Linked DNA regions of Ovis aries. The protein of the gene in region 2 purifies or fractionates together with the protein of the main gene of each other region. This does not show direct contact. Links are inferred from orthologs where the notes say so. Each region holds a gene or a part of one and is shown on either strand. Other genes may lie near its edges.

What was found.
Region 1: the proteins of XIAP (region 2) and XAF1 purify together in Homo sapiens (affinity purification with western blotting; 5 studies listed by BioGRID). This does not show direct contact. The link is inferred for Ovis aries from reciprocal best matches to the Homo sapiens genes XIAP and XAF1.
Region 3: the proteins of XIAP (region 2) and SIVA1 purify together in Homo sapiens (affinity purification with western blotting; 3 studies listed by BioGRID). This does not show direct contact. The link is inferred for Ovis aries from reciprocal best matches to the Homo sapiens genes XIAP and SIVA1.

The regions. Positions count from the first base shown.
Region 1 is NC_056064.1:25,036,322-25,040,441, forward strand, and holds the start of XAF1 (XIAP-associated factor 1), read right to left. Parts: upstream 2,807-4,120; 5' UTR 2,788-2,806; coding exon 2,756-2,787; intron 710-2,755; coding exon 574-709; intron 1-573. UniProt on the Homo sapiens protein: Seems to function as a negative regulator of members of the IAP (inhibitor of apoptosis protein) family. Inhibits anti-caspase activity of BIRC4. Induces cleavage and inactivation of BIRC4 independent of caspase activation.
Region 2 is NC_056080.1:107,806,122-107,810,142, reverse strand, and holds the start of XIAP (E3 ubiquitin-protein ligase XIAP), read right to left. Parts: upstream 2,808-4,021; 5' UTR 2,586-2,807; intron 1-2,585.
Region 3 is NC_056071.1:66,950,881-66,954,934, forward strand, and holds the start of SIVA1 (apoptosis regulatory protein Siva), read left to right. Parts: upstream 1-1,226; 5' UTR 1,227-1,270; coding exon 1,271-1,388; intron 1,389-3,461; coding exon 3,462-3,656; intron 3,657-4,054. UniProt on the Homo sapiens protein: Induces CD27-mediated apoptosis. Inhibits BCL2L1 isoform Bcl-x(L) anti-apoptotic activity. Inhibits activation of NF-kappa-B and promotes T-cell receptor-mediated apoptosis.

The DNA.
Region 1 (4,120 bases), on a different chromosome or scaffold from region 2:
AGCTCCAGAAACAGCTGGAGAGAAAGGTTGGCTTGACCAACCTTGGCCGTGACTGCCTTCCAAGCTCCCCTTTCCTGTCTCTCCTCTTGACACATCTCAAAAGAACATTTTACTTTTCCCAAAACAGGGACCCCTAGGCTTGGCCAACCTCATACACCTGTAGGGAAAGGATTGGGAATGGGAAACCAGGGTCTACTCAATGCAGTACAGGAAAGAAGTGTTAGTAGCTCAGTCGTGTCCGACTCTTTGTGACCCCATGGACTGTAATCCACCAGGCTTCTCTGTCCATGGGATTTTCCAGGCCAGAATACTGGAGTGAGTTGCCATTCCCTTGAATCTTCCTGACCCAGGGATGGAACCCAGGTCTCCTGCATTGCAGGTAGTTTCTTTACCATCTGGGCCACCAGGGAAGCCCAGGTGGCAGTGCAGGAAGGGCAGGATTATCTACCCTTTCCACTTTGCACAGGGGGCTGGGCGCTGGGGCTGAGGGACTTGCCCACGGCAGGCAGCCATGAGACGGGCTGCAGAGAGGACCCTGCCCCTCCACCTCCATCCCCCAATCTGCCTCCCCACCTGCTGGTGCCCGCCCTGGCGGTGTTCTTCCATCTCATGCTGCAAGACGGGTTCCTTGCACTCCGGGCAGAGGACCAGAAACATCAGACAGTGGGCCTCATGGAGGGCCAGGTGGTTGGAGGCCACCTTTCTTTTGCTGCAGGATCAAGAAGGAGGAAAAGCAGGTTTATTTCATGGCATAAAGCATGGAGCCATATTTTATGCCCGGGGCTCCTGGATGAAGATCTTCCAAGGCCGCAAGCACTGAAAATATGATGATGAGACCACCTGCCTCGCCTTCTCCATGTTGATCTCAAATCAGAACAATGCTGAATCATGACGTAATGGTAAGGATGCTCTGCAAAGCTCTTATGCTGCCCAGGGTGAGCACGGTGGGTAAGAAGGAGCAGGAGGGAGCAATTACAAAGGGACAAGAGAAACCTTTGGGAGGTAATGAATAGTTTCATTGTCTTGATTGTGACTGATGAAATAAAATTTATATTTTAAGGCAGGACAAGAACAATTTAAAGATAAAACTCTCGGTGTGTTTGGGGCTCCTCCCTTGCTCATGTACATTGTGCATTTGTCCTACACATTAACCAGAGCCCCTCATCGATGGAAGAGCCTACTCAACCGTTTCTTTTTCTCTTTCTTCTGATGCCAGGAATATAAATGAAAAGAATAGTGTTTTTTCTCAGCTCTGTGCTCAGTCACAGTGACTCACTGCTTACTCAGTACTCTGCGTGCTCACCTGGACTAGGCAGGTATCCTTGGTGAACTTTTTGTAAAACGCCAGTATGTCATTCTGATTTATGATCCTTTGTGTCAAAAGCATATGACTGTGTTTTTGACTTCTAACCTGGGCTTCCCTGGTGGCTCAGATGGTAAAGAATCTGCCTGCAATGTGGAAGGCTGAGGTTTAGTTGCTCAGCTGTGTCTGACTCTTTGCGACCCCATGGACAGTAGCCCCCCAGGTTCCTCTGCCCACGGGATTTCTCAGGCAAGAATATTGGAGTGGGTTGCCATTCCCTTCTCCAGGGGATCTTCCCGACTCAGGGATCAAACCCGTCTCTTTTGCATGGCCAGGCAGATTCTTTACTGTCTGAGACACCAGGGAAACCCAATATATATATTATTTTCAGATTATTTTCCATTATAGGTTATTACAAGATATTGACTATAGTTCCCTGTGCTATACAGTAAGCCTTTGTTGCTTATCTATTTTTTAAAATTAGAAATAGCATTCTATTTATACTAAGTCAAGCAAGTGGAATCAAAATGTCACATTTTAGTCAGGCAAAAACTTGTAAGTTTTCTAATACATATATACCCTATATACTATACATACATATATATACTATATTATACTAATACATATATTATACATATCTAATGCATATAAATTATACTTAATATTATATAATAAATATAAATACATTATATATTTCTTTATAAATACATAATAAATATAATTATATAAATAATACATAATATATATTATATTACTTATATATATGTATACAAAACTCTTCTACTCTGGGAAGCATGGACTCTTAATCACTGGACCACCAGGAAAATCTCCCTTCCTCTCTTCGTACTCCTCTGCCTGGCCTGGCACCTCAGCTTTTTTCCTGAGCTGGTGCAAACACCAGACAGCTAGGAGGGTTTGGCTGGAGAAAGGCCTTGGGGAAGGATCCCCCTGGTTCCTGTCACAGGTAGGGAGCTTCGAGAGTGAGGTGCCTCAAGGGGTTGGGTCCCCATGATTTAGAGGTGTGGTCTGGGACCTCTGCTCTATCCCCTCACCCTGCTCCACAGCTCCCTCCAAAGGTGGGAGTGGGAATGATCCCAGACAATCTGCCTGAGCCTCTTTCTTTCAAAGACTGGTATGAACAGCATACAAATTAGGACCCAAGGTCAGAAAAATAGGAGTAGTCCAGCAGGGATGGGTAGCCTGGCTGTTTGGCTGTAGAACTGTCCCAGAAAGTCTTCAGTACCTGGAGGTGGGGCGGGGTTCAGGGATGTCTGCCAACCCTGAGCCTCCCTCACTGGCATCTCCTCAGTTTACCCCTTCCTACCGCAGGGGCCCACCCTGGCCTTCCTGGGCACACAGACCCTTTCCTCTTCACTTTAGAAACAGGCTTATCCTCTCTGCCCCTCTCACCAGCCAGCCTCAGGTCGGCCACCAGGGAAAGTGACTTCTTACCAGTTCCTGCACACCTGGAAGGCTCCCTCCATGTTCTGGTCTCCGGAGTCTGTCGGTTTCAAGTTTCAGTTCTTGCAGGCAGAGAAACGAAACTGAAAGTGTTCTGGCAACGGGGCCCACAGCCTAGGAAGGGAGGCGTTTTCAGATTCCTCAGCCCAGGGCTGCTGCCCAGTACCTGTGACTGGACATCCAGGAAGCCCGGCCCCTGCCTCCTCCCTCAGCCTGTGCTGCTGCCGCCGGCTGTTTCTGCGACCCCTTGGGTGGGAGCCAGAGGCCAGGCCGCCCTGGCAGCAGCCCCTCCCCTCCCCCAGGCTGGCCTCACTGCATCTGGGTCACTCCATCCTCTTCCACAAAACACTGACCTCCTTGTCCCTCCTGGTCCTCTCACTGATCCTTCCTCTGTAGGAGAGAGCTGGTTGGCCGTGTTGAACTTGAGCTTGAAGGCTGCTCCTCCTTGAGACTGGCTCCTGACTTCCTGTATTCTACTCTGGTGCTGGTCAGGAGCAGGAGGAACTGGGGATGCAGGGTGGGGACTACAGGCTTTGGAGCCACATCCCGTAGCAGCCTGGTGGCCTAGGGCACTCACCTACCCTGTTCATCTCTGTCCTCACTTGTAAATAATCACATTAAACATGGCTGTAATGCTAACAAGGGGGCAAGCGAATGGGGAAGTCTTCAGACCCAGAAACTGCTGCAGTGAGGGCTGATGTAAATTGCACACATTGCTAGCCAACAGGAAGCAGAATCAGGCTTTGAACCCCAGGCCAAGAGGCCCAGGGCTTGTCTCTCCTAAAATGGCCAGAGGGTCAAGAGACGGGAATTTGAATCTTGGTAGTGGACCCAACTGACAACAAGAGTCACTTTAGCTTCTGGGCTTGTTTCCTCATTTCCACTGCCCCTGCCCCCGGACTCTACAGGGGACCTAGGGAACTTGGGGAGTCCAGGTGCTCCCAGAAACTGTGTGAAAAATTGCTTTCATTTGAGTACATGGACTTGAAAGGAGTCTGGGACCCAGACTGTTATAAATGCCTGGATGAATTGACCCCAGAATTTGAGATTCAAAGAAATCAAGTTCTGCTAAAGGCAACATGTGTCCAAAATTATATATGCATAATTGGATCAAATAAATATGGAACAGTTGTTTGTGTTCTTTTCACAGAGAGCAGGATGTAATTAATTAGATAAAAATGACAGAACAGTGTATCTAATTGCTCAGTAGAAATTGAAAAATTTGCAGGTAGTTGCAATTCCATCAGAAATGCTTAGATATTATATACTTTATGTTGACATTTTTAAGGGGGTTTAATGTGTATTTCTATTTCCCAGAATCTTATTTGTAAAAAAAAAACCATGCCTGTCTTTAAT
Region 2 (4,021 bases):
GAGTCAGACACAACTGAAGTGACTTAGCATGCATGCACTCAGAACTCTACTCAATGCTCTGTGGTCACTTAAATGGGGAGGAAATCTAGAAATGAAGGGATATATGTATAACTGGTTCACTTTGCTGTACAGCAGAAACTAACACAACATTGTTAAGTAACTATGCACACACGCACGCTCAGTTCCTTCAGCCGTGTCTGACTCTTTGAGACCCCATGGACTGTAGCCCACCAGGCTCCTCTGTCCATGGGGATTCTCCAGGCAAGAATACTGGAGTGGGTTGCCATTTCCTTCTCCAGGGATCGAACCCTGACCCAGGGATCGAACCCACATCTCCTGCACTGCTGGCGGATTCATTACTGGTGAAGTCCTGTAAAGCAACTAGATGCCAATACATTTTTTTTTTTAAAGAAATAGTTTAAAGAACAGTTATAAACCCTTTTGTCGGTTCAAAACCTCTGGAGCTCCCCAGGTGAAATTTGAGATTGGCGCCTTATCCTCAGAAGCGAGGAGAGACCAAAGAGGCAGACCACCCCAGACTGGTAGGAGGAGGTTTTGTAAGTTAGGAAACTTACATAGGAGGCTCATCTTGGATGGTCCCAAAACAAACCCATCTCCACACCCACCTGCCAGAATCTTAAAAGTTTACACAGAGGCCCAAACTGGGCTCAGTCACTTATTCAGTCCAGGTGGTCTCAATACCTCACTCTCTCAGAGCTCTGGCCTTGAATCACCTCTGGCTATGGGAGCAGTTGGAGAAGGCAATGGTACCCTACTCCAGTACTCCTGCCTGGAAAATCCCATGGACGGAGGAGCCTGGTGGGCTGCAGTCCATGGGGTCACTAAGAGTCGGAGACGACTGAGCGACTTCACTTTCACTTTTCACTTTCATGCATTGGAGAAGGAAATGGCAACCCACTCCAGTGTTCTTGCCTGGAGAATCCCAGGCACAGGGGAGCTTGGTGGGCTGCCGTCCATGGGGTCGCACAGAGTTGGACACGACTGAAGCAACTTAGCAGCAGCAGCATGGGAGCAGTGGGCAGAATTCCAAGCAAGCAGGGGAGGGGATAAGAAGCCTCCCATTGCTTGTCCAATCCCAGGGTCAACTGGCAGTCATTTCCTCCTGATGACCTCCTCAAACATCTTTACCCCAGATTCACCTGTTAACTTTTTACCCCATGTGCTTTATCATTTGTATGATCTACCTTTCTCTCTATCTTTTCTCCTGAACTGTTGGGGAGAATTATATATCATTGCCCTTCACCCCTAAATACTTCAGTGCATATTTCTGAAGAGTATGGTAATATTCTCTTACTTTAACCACAATCCAATTATCAACTTCAGAAATTTACATTAATACAACACTTTATTATTTTTGGCCACTCCACACAGCTTGTGAGATCTTAGCTCTCTGACCAGGGGTTGAACCCTTGCCCCCTGCAGTGGCAGGCAGAATCCTAACCATTGGACCATGAGGGAATTTCCATGATACAACACTTTAATCTATCATCCCATATTCCAATTTTAGCAGTTGACCTAATAATGTCCTTTAAGTATTCCCTTACCCCACCCCAGTACAGGAGCCTGTCTAGGGTCAGATATTGCCTTTCGTTGTCACATGGTGGAGGAGGACATTGAGTTGTGACCACCAGTTGGCTGGTAAGCTGGTCAAGGGCTACCAGTGTCAGGATTAAGGCATCTATAGTGCCAAACTTAAGGAGACACCAGTGAGTTCCACCTGGAGGAGTTTGACAGGTGAATAGGAATGAACTTAGCAGAGAAGAGAGATGAGGTCATTTGGGACAAAGGGAACAGTGGCCAGAAAGACTAGGAAGCATGAAGAGCATGGTGAGAAGTGCGATATAATCATAGTATAAGGTATTTGTTAGGGAGGGCCTGAAGATGAGACTGATAAAGTAAGTTGAGAGCAGGTGTAAATTGCCTTAGTGTTATGAGCCTGGACTGGACTTTACCCTATAGGCAGTAAAAACGTTGAAGAGTCTTTTCACATCCCGGATTGCTTGACTCACTTGGTTATCAAATTCCATCAACTCCACTTCTACACTGGCTTCCCTTGAAGTCTCCCCCCACCCCTTGAAGGGTTTTAATCAGAGGAGTAACATGATTATAATATTTTTTAATGAGGTGAAACTGGCAACATTGTATAAACTAGACTGGCAGGATGAGTGATAAGAAAGGTGAAACCTAAGTCAGGTGAGGAGGCTAATCAAGCGAGAGGTGATAAAGAACTGAATTAACAAAACAGTAGCAGGAAGGGGAAAATGTTTATGAGATATAATTAGTTAAGACTTGGGTACTGTGAGAGGGTTTCAACCTGAAATGGAACTGGAGGATTGGAAATAGAGAATCTCAGGCATGTGTCCTCAGAAGAATGGAACTTAACCAAGAGACTGATTTCCCATAAATGCCTGACTTCCAGAGGACAGAGACTTATCTCCTGACCAACAAACATCCCTCCCCATCCTCAAGCCAGTGAACTTGCTGCTTGCGCTCTGGCTGGACATCCTCCTCTTTGCACTCCTTGCCCATAAATGGAGCCCACCCTGAACCCTCAAGGGACTCACCTGTAGCTTGATACAGCTTGCATTTCTTGAATTGCAATTTCTCTGCTATTCCCAAATAAACTAAATTTCTGGTAAACTGAGGCTGTCTCCGTTTACCTTTTTATTTACGTTGACCATGTTGATTTTATACGTAGAGTCTAGAGAAGTCCAGGATGACTTTTCAGTTTCAGGCTTGAAGGACTGGGTAAGAAGAGTTGCCATTCAAGAAGTGGGGAAAATGGTAGAAATAAGTTTGAGTGGAAAAGGAAGTACAGTTTTAGACATGAGTTCAAGCTGGCCAAAGGATATCCAATTAGAAGTTTCCATGAAAAGGTTTTGAAATAATGTCTCAGTGAAACTTGGACAGCTTCCCTTTTCTGAGTTCCTTCTGCCTTCACAATCAAGATGAAATCAGGAACTTTAGGTAAAACGTTTGTTTCACCAAGTCATGTCTGGGAGTCCCCAGGGGATATTTTTAACATCCTCACGAACCTATCTTTCAGCTGTTGTTACCTTATGGCACCCACCATCCTCCTCACTTGCCTCAGCCCTCTCATTTATATCCACTGTTCAATTAAACACCTGAAGAGTGTTTCACCTTTGCCATAGCTACGTGTCCACTGTCAAAGTATAATTTTTAGAAAACTGAAAATGTGACAAGGAGAACCTACTGTATAGCATAGAGAGCTCTACTCAGTGCTCTGTGGTGACCTAAATGGGAAGGAAATCTAAAAAAAAGGGCGGATATATGTATACATATTACTGATTCACGTTGCTGTACAGCAGAAACTAATGCAACATTGTAAAGCAGCTAAACTCTAATACAAATGTTTAAAAATATGTGACATACAAAATATAGAATAAGCCCCTATAAATATTTAATTCATTAATGAGGAGACAGCAGTATGTTAAGTTGATTCAAAGGAGAATTTTGACGTCTCTGGTGGTCCAGTGGCTAAGAATTCACTTGCTAATACAGAGGAAATGGGTTCAATCCCTGGTCTGTGAAGATCCCACATGCTGGGGCAACCAAGCCCATAAGCCACAACTACTGAAGCCTCTACACCCTAGAGCTCACGCTTTGTGTCAAGAGAAGCCACTGCACAGTAATGATGACCCAGTACAACAAATAAATAAACAAAGGAGAACTTGAAAGAAAGTGCATATAGGCACTCAAAGAAATAATTATAAAGTAAAACTATGAAGTTTGATTTCAATACAATACTGTTTAATGTCCTACAGGGAAATACAACTGTTAGCTTGGAGGCTGTCATTTCTATTTGACAGAAGCATTTGCATCTCTACAAACAGTCTGCAAGTTAATAGAGACTTCAGAGAGACTTGACTGTAATCAGTAGTAAATAGTAAGTCAAGCAAAACATATTCCTCTAGACAAATAATCTTTGGGCAGCCTGTTAGACTGTGACATGGAAAGGACATCCTTTTGCCTTACTTCC
Region 3 (4,054 bases), on a different chromosome or scaffold from region 2:
GCAGGTGGCTAACAGGAACAGTGCCACACGGCAGCCACACGACCGGGAAAACGCTGCCACAGCCCCCTCCGGACCTGTTTCTTCCAGACCCACCAGGCCCGGCGGGAAGGGGCACCCGGACCAGAGGCTGGCCCCGCCCATATTCCTTCTAGGCGGGGTCAGTGTCCGGGGCTGTGAGGTGCCTCATGTGGGGCGTGTCCCGTGAGACAGGCCGTCGGCTTTGTCTCCAGAAGTCCGGGCTACAGAGGGAACTGCTGGATGGCCCCGGGCCCGCAGACAGGATGAGGGGCAGGTAGGCAGGCAGCCGGCAGAGGCCTGGGTGGGGCCGGAGCCTCGCTGCTCGGTCAGAGCCCAGCATTGCCTCAGCCCTGCTCAGTGACGCAGCAGGGCCCAGAACGGCCCCGTGTAAGGCACTCTCCACTTGCGAAGGCGAGACGCGCCTCCAAATTGAGAAATAAAGACAAGTTAGCGCATGGAACTCTGCCCCACGCTGGGCGCCAGCTGGACGGGAGGGGCACTGGGGGAGAGCGGACACACGCGCACGTGCGGCTGAGTCCCTCTGCTAGTCGCCTGAAGCTGCCGCCGCACTGTTCATCAGCTAACCCCAGGACCAAATGTTTCTGGAGTTAGATACCAAAAAAGTGAATCCTCCTCAGACCACTGGTGATTTAAAGGAAGAAATATGAGTTTCCAGAGTTATGCCTATGGCTGGTTCATGCTGATGTTTGACAGAAAACAACAAAATTCTGTAAAGCAGTTATCCTTCAGTTAAAAAAATAAATTTAAAAAGAAAAGAGTTGTTTGGAGACCAGAACAGCAGCCAATACGCTCGCCTTTTTCGCGCCGCCTCAAACGAGTCTCGCCCCCTCGGACGAGTCCCGCCCCCATGTCGCCTCTGGCCTATCACGGGCCGTGTGTCTCACGAGTCCCGCCCCCACGTAGTCCCCAGCCTATCCCGCAGCGCTTTCGCATCACACCGCCTTCCTATTTCCCTGCTGGTGGCGCGCCCGCTCTGACCCTTGACCTCTCTCTGGACTTTCCCGCGCCGCTGAGTCCCGCCTCCCAGAGCAAGCGCTCCGCCCCCGCCCTCGCTCTGGGCCTATCCCGCGTCGCGCCGCACACGAGTCCCGCCCCATCCTCTCCCCAGACCTATCCTGTGTCGCGCCGCGTATTAGTCCCGCCCCCCGCTCCGCGCCGGGTTGGCGCGCGGCTGTGACGTCACGGGCAAGAGAGGCGCGGCGGCCGAGCGGAGCCGCTCCGGGCCGCGGCCATGCCCAAGCGGGGCTGCCCCTTCGCGGATGCGGCCCCGCTGCAGCTCAAAGTGCGTGTCGGCCAGAGAGAACTGAGTCGCGGCGTGTGCGCCGAGCGCCTCACACGAGAGATTTTCGGTGAGTGCTGTGAAGCGGGGCTGGGCGGGGGGTCCCCACCGGCCGCGCCCGCTGGAGCCGGTGCCCGTGTTCCCCGCCGCCTGACCGGGCTTAGGATCCGCGAGAAGGACGGCGTGAATGCTCCCGCGTCCACGACCTGCCCCTTCCGCACCTTCCGAAACGGACGGCTTCTGCGTGGGGCCGAGTCGGGGCTCGGTCCTGCGGGAATACTGGACTCACAGGGACCCGCTCTGATCTGACCAGCCCAGCGATAGGCCTCCGGGTCCCGCCTCCCGGGACTCGTCCCGGTGGGAAGGTCGGCAGAGGCACCCCTTCAAACCCGAGAGGCTTGTGTGGAGCGCGCCCTCCTTGCCAGGCGGTGCCGCTGCTGAGGGGGCCAGTCGAAGGAGGACTCTCTAGAGGGGCAGACACGGGTCACCGAAGGACCACCTGCAGGCTGTCAGGTCTCCTGGAGGAAGAGTCAAAGCCAGATTCTGCGGGGTTAGACAGGCAGAGAGGGAAAGGAAGGAAATTTCCCGGCAGAGGGAACAGCCTGTGCGAAAACCGGGGCGCTGGAGTGTGCTGTCCGGCTCTGCACGGCTGCACTGTCCAGTTGAAAAATGTGAGGGCCCTGACCTAAGCCTTCTCCTCTGACTTCTTCAGGCACGTTTTTGAATGCATGGATAATACTGACATCGCTTTGGAGAGATTAGCAGGTGATGTAAATAAGTGAAGCCTAGGGTACTTGGGCCAGACTGCAACTGTTACTCACTCTCTCAGGACCTTCCAAAAACGAAAACACTGCAAACAGAAGGGAGGGCTTCCCTGGCGTCTCAGACAGTAAAGAACCCGCCTGCAGTGCTGGAGGCCTGGGTTTGATCCCTGGAGGATCCCCAGGAGGAGGGCACGGGAACCCACTCCAGTATTCTTGCCTGGAGAATCCTATGGACAGAGGAGCCTGGTGGGCTACAGTCCATGGGGTCGCAAAGAGTCAGACACGACTGAGTGACTAACACACACACATAAGTCAGTCTAGCTCTTGACCACAGTGTCCTGGACCATTTGCAGAGCTTGGCCCACGCAGGGCCCATCAGGGAGGGGGTGCTAGGCTCCCTGGACATTCTCTGAGAAGGACAGGGCCTTGTGAGGCCCGTGTGAACTCATGTGTAATGATTTCCAAGTCTTAAACTCTCGCCTCTTTATGTTGAACTGGCCACAGGCCCTTGAAGACAAGTGTTAGTCTGGCCACATGACCTGCCCCCTGCCCAGTCCCATCCTGTTACAAACGGGGAGACTGGAGGAGGAGGAGCTGGGTGTGGCAAGCTGCCATCACTTCCGTGAGTTATCAGCTGTGTGTTTCTGTGATATCACCCAGCACCAGCAGCTTCTAAGGTCTCCACCCTAGCTCTGTTGGGACAGAGCAGAGAACCACAGAGCATTGCTGGGCTGGCATTTAGCATTTCACCTTGCGAAAGCTGCTGCTCGTGGCTGGGGAGATGTCCAGGCCCCACAGAGGTCTGGAAAGTTCTGGGGTACCTTGTCAGGAGCCAGCTGTGGCTGTGCATTTTGCCAGCAGCTCTGCAGTAGCCAAAAGGTTGCAGGCTCAGCCCTGAGTTTCTTGCTGTGCTTTAGTTGGCTATCCACAGTGCAGAAGGGAATGGAGACGGAGATGGCAGCCCACTCCAGTGTTCTTGCCTGGAGAATCCCAGGGACGGAGGAGCCTGGCGGGCTGCCGTCTGTGGGGTCGCACAGAGTCAGACACGACTGAAGCGACTCAGCAGCAGCAGCACAGAGCTTCCTCTGTCAGAGGAGGCCTGCTTGTGGGTTCTGGGGAGGAGGTGAGGCCACACGTTGTGAAAAATGAGCAGAGTGACGGGACGGGGAGCCCAGGTGGGGCTGCAGGCTGCAGAACCTGGCTGGAGGAGGTGCCTGCTGAGCCCGGGCCGGAGGGCAGCCTCGCCAGGGGCAGCTTGGTCCCGGGTGACTGGAAATCTGCTCAGAGGAGGGCTCAGCACGCACAGCTCCAGGGACAGGCGGCCCCGCAGGGGCTTCCGTACCGCAGGGGTGTAAGCGGGCAATGCTTGTCCTCCCCAGAGAAGACCACGCAGCTTCTCTTCCGTGGAGCCCAGGCCTGCATGGACCCTGCATGGGAGGAAGGCTGCGCCATTGTCCACACGCCAGAGTCCCCGAGGCCCGGCCCCACAGAAGCCCCTCGGGCCGCGCGTGGGCAGATGCTGATTGGGCCCGACGGCCGGCTGACCCGGAGTCAAGCGCAGGCCTCCGAGGCTGGTGAGTAAGGCGGCCGGCAGGCGCTTCCCAGGTCTCTGCTGCAGACAGGATGGGGTGGGGGCTCTTCCTCCTGGAGCTGGGCCGGAGTCTGATGCCGGGAGTGGGGCGAGTGCCTGGAGGTTCCCGCTGCAGGAGGCGCTCCCCGCTCTGATGTATGGGAACTGTGAGCAGCTCTGAGTGTTCAGTCAGAAAGGAGCGGGCCCCCCCCGGGTGGCCCTCGTGGGCGTCCTGCCTGCTCCCACCTGGAGCTCTCATCCGCATCCCTCTGCACTGTGCTGTAGACTCAGACCGTCACGTGCGTCACAGCTAAACCCCCACCCCTGGGGGCCCAGGAAGCCCTGTGTTAAGCCAGTACACGGGGGCCACACTTGGAGACGCAGCTGTGAGATGCGCCAGGG